2 linked regions of the Mus musculus genome follow. The protein of the gene in region 2 interacts with the protein of the main gene of each other region in a biochemical or structural test. Links are inferred from orthologs where the notes say so. Each region holds a gene or a part of one and is shown on either strand. Other genes may lie near its edges.

Region 1 (3,648 bases), on a different chromosome or scaffold from region 2:
TGGCCATTCTTGGGGCAGCTGCCATCCAGATCTTCTGGACCCAGGACTAGGTAGAAACCAAGCTGAAGTAGATCACAGTCAACAATATCTAAAGCAGAAGTGTTGAGTCAACAGTGACAACACAGCTGTTTGTGTTGTCAACCTTGTGATCCACCATCAACTGTTCTTAGGAAAGAAGGCCTTTGGCACACAGGACCTTCTGAGCAGATCCTAGATGCCTGCCCTTATGAACCCCTGACCTTTAAGGACTCCAGTCCATCAATTGGGCCAGGAGGGCCAATTGCTGATAGTACTGACTCCTTTATGCCCTCAGGATAGCACTGGCTATGGGGACTGATGTTGTCCATAGGATAGAAACAGGAGAGGCAGCTGTTGGAATAGTGCCACCTCAGAAGGCTGTGGCCAGCCCAGCAGAGACTCCCTGCTTCCTCACTATATCAGACTAGACCAGACAGTCAGAGTCCAGCTCTGGGGCCAGCCCAGCTTCTTCACACAAGAGCCTGTGGTTGGATTCTCTTTATCATCAATCCCAGAATATAGATCAAGTTGGGAATGAGGGAATCATTTTTGTTTGCTTGTTTGCTTGTTTAATTAAAGCTGGTTTTGTCATGGTATTTATTGCTAGTTCTGGTCTCCTGGCTGGGGTCCCAGTACAAGCATGGCTTCCACATAGGCGCCAGCTGGGACCACAAAGCACTTAGGGAAAATGCCAACGCAGCCATCTCGGTGTCCCTCCAGCCATGCTTCGTCCACTGTGGAGACATGTTGGGTGCTGTGTATGCTTACAACAAAGACTGAGCCCTAGAGAGCAGAGTCCCCACCAGGCCTGGGCAAGCCAGTAGTGTCGGGCAGGAAAGGGCAGCCTTTTACCTTCACACAGGACATCCACCGTGTCCCCTTGGTGGAAGTCCAAATCCTCCGGTCTTTGGGCACGATAGTTGTACTGAGCTACTACTTGGTAGAGGACTGGCCGGCCCCAGACCCCCTGTAACAGAAGGGTAGGCTTAGGGGCAGCAGAGGGGCTTCTCTTCCAACTGTCTGGGATGCCCACAGCAGGCATCATGGTCTCTCCCCTTGGCTCACCTGGCACTGGAGCTGCAACCCTCCTGGGCCCACGGGCACATTCCTCCATATACTCTGCAGGGACTCCTCCGTGGAGATGGGAATCCAGGATCTCTCCTCTCCTGGGGCTTTGTAACTGCACAGGAAGTCCTGAGGGTGAGCTCCAGTATGTAGGGGGAGTACCTACTACCTGGTCTTTCCCTAAAGGAAACTAACTTCTGTGGCTCTCCACTGTGCCTGGCCTTTACTTCCAGTGGCTGCCTAGATTCTTAGGCCTAGAGCTAAGGGAGCCTTAGCTTTGATCCTGTCCTGGGCCTGAAAAATGACGACTTCAGAGCAAAACAACAACAGAAGTCTTTCTCTTCAGTTCAGAAGAGCCCTCACTTCCTCGTAGCTCAGATCCATCCTTTTGTACCGTAGCTTAGAGTCCCCATGCTCACAGCTTTCTGACTTACCTGAGCTGCCCTGTCTGCGTCTGGTGAAGGAGGGCTTGAGCTAGTAGTGTCTGAAAACTGGACAGGCCAGTTCCTCTTGGGACCTTCAGGGGCACAGTAAAGTGGCACTGCACAGTGACAGTCACCAAGGATTCAGGGTCCTTTGTAGCTGCTCCCTGAGGACAAAAACAGGGCTGCTTAGCCTTTGAAGGAAGGTTTATTCTTGGAGCCAAGGAATCAGAATAGAGGCTGGGCTGAAAGGTCAAAGAGAATCTGAGATATGACCTTCCTTGCTCCAAGTGGCTGATGAGAGGGGACTGGAGAGCAGGATAGCTCTTACCTCAGATCCTGAGGAAACTTCAGAGGGGCCTGGACCAGGCCTTCTGGATGCCAGCAAACTATCATATAGGCCAGGGCTCGTGTGACCACCTTTTCATAAAGGAGACACTTTGAAGTAGCTGGCCCCTACCCCAAACTTTCCTTAAGGGACAAGTGCCCACGCCCCAGCTCTCCTGAAGAGGCTCCTCCTACCCGTAGTGCTCAGGACCCTCTTACACATAGATGAGGATGGCTGGTGGCCAGCATGCTCCGCCTGGGACCTCTGCAAAGGTAGACAGTGGTCAAAGGGATCTCACAAGTGTGGGTCCTCACACATGCCAGCTGCAGCCATGGTAACACATTTTGTTTAGTTAGTTTTGTTACATCTTACATTATACAAAACTATTTGTGTATAAATTGTTTAAAAGTTATTTATGCACAATTTGAACACATACCAGGGCTTTTACTATTTACATTGCCAAGTTTCCTTCAGGTGTGATAGGGGCTACACTCTTCTACTGAAAAGCATGTTTAGCTGGATGTTGAGAGCCTACTCTGTATGTGAAGAGGTTACACGAGCATTTTGTAGGTAAGGGTAAAGTATAGTCCAGGTAAGACACTTGGCCAAGTTTCAATAGAGTTAACCTTTTCTTCAGAAGTTTGCAACTCACACTTCAGCCTTGACACTCAGGAGGGTTTTGCTCCAAGTGTGAGCTCTTGTATTATATCTACATAGATCTGTTCTGTGCCATGAATCAAGTAGAATAAATGTGACTATAGCCTTCCTATCCTTTCCCTTCCAACGAAGTCTTCAGCTCGCACTTGAGTTGGTAACCTGGCTACTCTCTAGTTGTTGAGTTCTGCATCCTTGAGTGCCCTTGTTAAAGGATGCATTTCCATTGTATGCTGGCCTTGCTGGTGTTGTCTGGTAGTGTTTCCTAGATGTTCCTTGGTGGGTTTTTGCCTTTGTTGGGTTTGTATAAACAATTGTGTGTGTGTGTGTGTGTTTGTGTGTGTGTGTGTGTGTGTGTGTGTGTGTGTGTGTGTGTGTGTGTTGCTTGAGGGTGGACCTAGAGTACAAGAGTCTTGAGATGGTGGGTCTGGACTCAGGGCAGAAACTCCCTGGACTCTGTCCTAGCACGGTCAACGGTTAAAGATATAGTCTGGGAGTTTAGCCAGCAGCTAGTAGGAAGTCATTATCCAAACTTCTCTGGGAGTAAATTCATGGTAGGCCCACACCATAGGCATGCCTTGGGATACAATTGAGTCCCCATAGGCCTGGAGTCTACAGATTGCCCTGCATCAGTGGAGAGTCAGTCTACTTCCTAGGTCTTCTATCAATCCTTAAATCTCAATGCTGGCTTCCCCACTGACCCTGAGAGGTCCAGGACAGAGTCTTAGGAGGTGCCCAGCCTAGGGTGCCCTGAGTTGGAGAGGAGGTGGGGACCTCTACCCTCTGTGGGACACTCATGGATGTGGCTTGTGAAATGGTCTTAAAGAGACACTATGGAAATTCACTGTGTGACCCTTATGAAGCTTACAGTTCAGGACAGGGGCTGGCAGATGCAGGTTTAAGTCCTAGGGATTTTGGGTATAATTGTTCAAAAGGACATTGCACTGTTGGATTATAATGAACTAAAGACTGGATCACATGGAACTGACTGTCCTGTGTCCTGCAATAAGCTCATGTCAAGCTTTCTTCAAGTGCTCACCACTGGCTCATGGGCCTGCTCCAGGGAAGCAAGGGTTCCTGCCTAACTCCTCTTCACAAGGGCTTGGAAGGCTTGCAATGGCCAGGAAGGAAGACATTGTTTGGTCCTTCCGACCTATCTTT
Region 2 (4,340 bases):
CTCCAACAAGTGCATTGGCTGGGAGCAGGGTGAAGGTTAGTCACCTGCCAGGAGGCAGCATGGGCTCCAGATCCAGAGGTTTGGGTACAAAGAAGCCGTGAAGTGCTGAACTCCTCAATATGTGTTCTGAGGTTGCCAGCAATGCCTGTACATAGGTGTCCAGCAGCCGCAAACGTACCAGTCCTCGACCAGTATGCCCCCGACGTGTCAGCAATGGAGCATCTGCCCGGGTATCACAAGCACACACTGTGGGGCCCCACTCACGCACACTGCCCTTACCATCCCATGACCCTTACAGGCCTGACCAGGAAGCTTGGGAAGAACTTGTTCAGATCTCCGTAGCAGGCCTGCCTCCACTGGGAAGGTTTTCTTAAGGGTCTTCTGGTGGGGAGGAGCAGGTGTTAGTCTTTGAGATGGAGAGAACCCCCTAGGGAGGGAAGGGTCCCTAGAAGAGCTCCTACAGGCAGAAGGGGAGGTCCTTGGACTGAGGTCATCCACAGATGGAGTATCCAGAGGACTCTGGACTGGAGCCAATACCCACTGGAGTATAGTCCCAGTGTTAACTTACCTGGAGCTGCCTGAACTCATCCCAGCTCCTCCGCACAAATGTGTCACTGTTGTCTGACCAGCACACGGAGAAGGCAAATGTCTGTGTGAGGAAAGGTAGAGGCGACATCTCCTTCAGTCTTTGCCAGTTTTCCTTTTGCATCTTTGGAGACAATCGGTGCAGGGGTGAGGGACGGGGCAGTGTGGTCTACCTGGAGTCGGTCCATTTGCACCAAGGCTACAGCATGGGCTGATACTGGGTGTCTTGGGCTTGCCATGACTATGGATGCTTGAAGGAGCTCCGAGCATCCGGAAGAAGTGAAGTGGAATTCCCCAACACTGCCCTAAGTAGAGTCCCTTCGAAGCACTCACAATCCAGGAAAGAGTTCAGTTTCCTGGTTCTTGAAGCACAAAAAAACGAGAGAGGATTCATCACAGGAAGACTGCCAGGGGGAGGGGCAAGCCTGGGCAGATGGAAGAAAAGGCCCTTTGTACAAGACTGTTCTCAAACAGAACCACCTGGGGCTCCTCTCCTTCCTTAGTCAGGGGAAGAAAAACTGTAGGGAGTTCCACCACCAAAGCACCTGCCGCCTCAACTTCACCTGCCCCCTCTGCCTCTTCATCCTGCTGTGACCTCCTCCAGGGTGTGCCTAACAGCTTGCTCTTTGAATCCACCCTGGGCTACAGTACAGTATGTTACAGACACAGACAACCTTGAGTCAACTACTGGGTCCTTTTTTGGTTGCTTTGGTTTGGTTTGGTTTTGGTTGGTTGTTTTTGTCTTGTTTTGCTTTGAGATAGGGTTTTGCCAAAGTTGGGAATATTACTGTCTTAGGCTCCCGAGTAGCTAGGTCATAAAGCCAATCTCCTTACTTAGCTAAGTCTTGGCATTACCTTTAATAACTTTCTGGCTTTTTTTCAGAAATGTTGGAAGTCAGAAGACAGAAGCTGGAAAAGTGAGGAATTGTGAGCCCCTCTTACCACTCAGTTGACAGCCCCTGTCTACCCCTCCCAACCTTAGATGCTCTTCACTCTATCTAGCCACTGCCTCTCTCAGATGCACACAGAGGAGCCCCCAACTCTGGGTTCCTCCCTGTCTCTTTAAAAAAATCTGTTCTCAGTGGGGTAGCACATGCCTTTAATCCCAGCATTTGGGTGGCAGAGGCAGGTAGATTTCTGAGATCAAGGCCAGCCTGGTCTACAAAGAGAGTCCAGGACAGTCAAGACTGGTTACACTAAGAAACCCTGTCTTGAAATACACACACACACACACACACAAAATCCACTGTCCCAAATTGCCCAACATCTCTGTTTTTAGGGAAAAAAATGCCAGTTGCTACCATGGTCATAAGTAGGCCTTGCCGGACTCTGGATTCTGCCTCTATCTCCTCTACCTTCCCTAGACCCTGCCCCCAGCGTCACTGGTGTTTCTGTAAAATGTCAAGCATTTGAGCTGATTTCTTATCCCAAAGGCCTGTGCCTAAGGGTCTCCTCACCCCCTGCACAGCTTTCATCAGTTTTGTAAATATGATTCTGGTGTACTGGGTTTTCCGCATTTGCATCACTGGTTAAAGGCTAAAGAGGGAGGCTTGTTCCTTGTTCTGCTCAGTGGAGGAAACAGCACCTGGAGAGAGCAGCCACTCTACAAATATTTGCAGAAAGAGTAAATGAACACATGGAGGCAGCGGAAGGAATTCTTCCTGTGATGGCACAGGCGTTTAAGTCAAACACTTGAAGAGGTGGTGTGGTGGCAAAAAGATTCAAGAATTCAACATCATCTTCACTCAGCTACATACAGAGTTCAAAGTTAGTCCAAGTTACATGAGACCCTGTCTCCAAAAGAAAAAAAAAAAGGAAGAAATTCCTGAGGCTGCTATTAAAATAGGCATAATAATCTTTTATCCAAGCTAGAGGATGAGGACACGCCCTCTCTCAAGGTTGCGCAGTGGGGGACAGTTACTAGGGCACAGGTAGCCTCTGGCAATAAGTACTGTCTGGTCTCTGTGAGGCCACGCCCCGTCGCGCGTTGCTAAGGCACCGAGAAGCGTGTAGGTGGGCACGTCGTAAGGCAGGAAGACCCCAAATTTTGCCGCCCTTAGGTGTCTGAGCCAAGCGATGGGGGTGATGCGAGAAGCATCTCGGAACTCATCTCAGTCCAAGATCTCAGCACAGCCGCAGCGCGCCTTCCACGACACACTTCACATCTGCCGGAGGAAGCCTGAACCCCACCATGGACCACGCACGCCGGGCTCGCGGCGGGTCACCAGGCGCAAGAGTACCCGCAGAGCCGGAGCCGCAGCCGCCAGTGCCGCCTCGGCCTGGGCCTCCGGCGCCGCCTCCTCCCGCCCCGAGGCCTCCTACGCCTCCGCGACCCGGGCCGCCGCCTCGGCCCCCAGCCCCGCCCCGCCGCCAGGCCCCGCCTCCTGCCCCGGCCTGAGCCCAGCCCCGGGCTGCGGTTCCCGCTCCTGCCGCCGCGCGCCGGCGGTGGCGTGCACGCTCCTCCGAACTGTCGCCGGCACGCCCTCTTGGCCCCGCTGCCCGCACGCCAGCAAGATGGCGGCGCCCAGCGAGCCGGCGGGCTTCCCTCGCGGCAGTCGCTTCTCCTTCCTGCCGGGCGGCGCGCGCTCCGAGATGACCGACGACCTGGTGACTGACGCGCGGGGCCGCGGCGCAAGGCATAGAGACGACACCACCCCTGCCGCGGCCCCGGCGCCGCAAGGTTTGGAGCACGGGAAGCGACCGTGCCGGGCCTGCGTGGACTTCAAGTCGTGGATGCGGACCCAGCAGAAGGTGCAGATGCCCCGCTTGGCCGCCCGGTCCCGGTCCCCCACACACCTGGTTTCCAGGTTCCCGTTCGGCTACCGCACGGCCCAAACCCTCAGGGTTGGCTATGCCTAAACATGTTTACCCCTCACCCACACACACCGTTAGGCTCAAACTTTTGCGCTTTCAGCCACTGGCTAGTCAGATCGAGTTAGTAGGCTGTCAACTGAAAAAGGGAGCGTTCTTGTTTCCTTTATTATTATTATTATGATTATTATTAGTGATAATGGGAATTCGAACCGAAGGCCTCTGGCGTACAACGCAAGCAGTCTGCCACTGGGTTGGAATTTTATGGGCTTTCTGGTTGGGTAAGAGTGAATTGACCTTTAGTCGGCCTACTTCTGCAGCGGGACATCAAGTTTAGGGAGGACTGTCCACAGGATCGGGAAGAATTGGGTCGCCACACCTGGGCTTTCCTCCATACGCTGGCCGCCTATTACCCGGACAGGCCCACGCCAGAACAACAACAGGATATGGCCCAGTTCATACATATATTTTCCAAGTTTTACCCCTGCGAGGAATGTGCGGAAGACATAAGGAAGAGGTAAGTTGTGGCTATACCTCTTGTCAGTAAGGTCCCTAGAGCGGGCCTAGCTGATGCCGGGCGGTGGTGGCGCACGCCGTTAATCCCAGCACTTGGCAAGCAGTGGCAGGTGGTTTTCTGAGTTCGAGGCCAGCCTGCTCTACAGAGTGAGTTCCAGGACAGCCAGGGCTACACAGAGAAACCCTGTCTCAAAGAAACACAAAAAAAGGGGGGGGGGCATAGCTGATGTCATAGAGAGGGGCCTAGAACAGTAGATTCAGAAGTGACAGGTTCCTAGGAGAGGGGACACCAAAAGGGATGTTGGGGTTTGGGGGCCTTCTCCTTCCTCAAAAGCCCAGTCCTTATAGCTCTTCCTTATGGGGCTCAAGCCAATCTCTCAGCTTAGTTACCAGCTTTAAAAACTGGACTGAAGGGAGGCAGAGGCAGG

Evidence for each region. The genes of interacting proteins can lie anywhere in the genome.
Region 1: the proteins of Noxo1 (region 2) and Noxa1 form a complex in vitro, tested with the Homo sapiens proteins (2 studies listed by IntAct). The link is inferred for Mus musculus from reciprocal best matches to the Homo sapiens genes NOXO1 and NOXA1.

The regions. Positions count from the first base shown.
Region 1 is NC_000068.7:25,085,103-25,088,750, forward strand, and holds the end of Noxa1 (NADPH oxidase activator 1), read right to left. Parts: intron 2,098-3,648; coding exon 2,028-2,097; intron 1,926-2,027; coding exon 1,837-1,925; intron 1,673-1,836; coding exon 1,518-1,672; intron 1,199-1,517; coding exon 1,084-1,198; intron 986-1,083; coding exon 871-985; intron 753-870; coding exon 622-752; 3' UTR 565-621; downstream 1-564. Other genes in the region: Entpd8 (ectonucleoside triphosphate diphosphohydrolase 8), read left to right, coding at 1-50.
Region 2 is NC_000083.6:24,694,827-24,699,166, reverse strand, and holds the start of Noxo1 (NADPH oxidase organizer 1), read right to left. Parts: upstream 2,934-4,340; 5' UTR 2,171-2,933; exon of another isoform or gene 2,043-2,170; intron 1,531-2,042; exon of another isoform or gene 1,441-1,530; intron 948-1,440; 5' UTR 825-947; coding exon 759-824; intron 651-758; exon of another isoform or gene 650-650; coding exon 569-649; intron 382-568; coding exon 306-381; intron 223-305; coding exon 45-222; intron 1-44. Other genes in the region: Gfer (FAD-linked sulfhydryl oxidase ALR), read left to right, coding at 3,100-3,336, 3,717-3,913. UniProt on the Homo sapiens protein: Constitutively potentiates the superoxide-generating activity of NOX1 and NOX3 and is required for the biogenesis of otoconia/otolith, which are crystalline structures of the inner ear involved in the perception of gravity.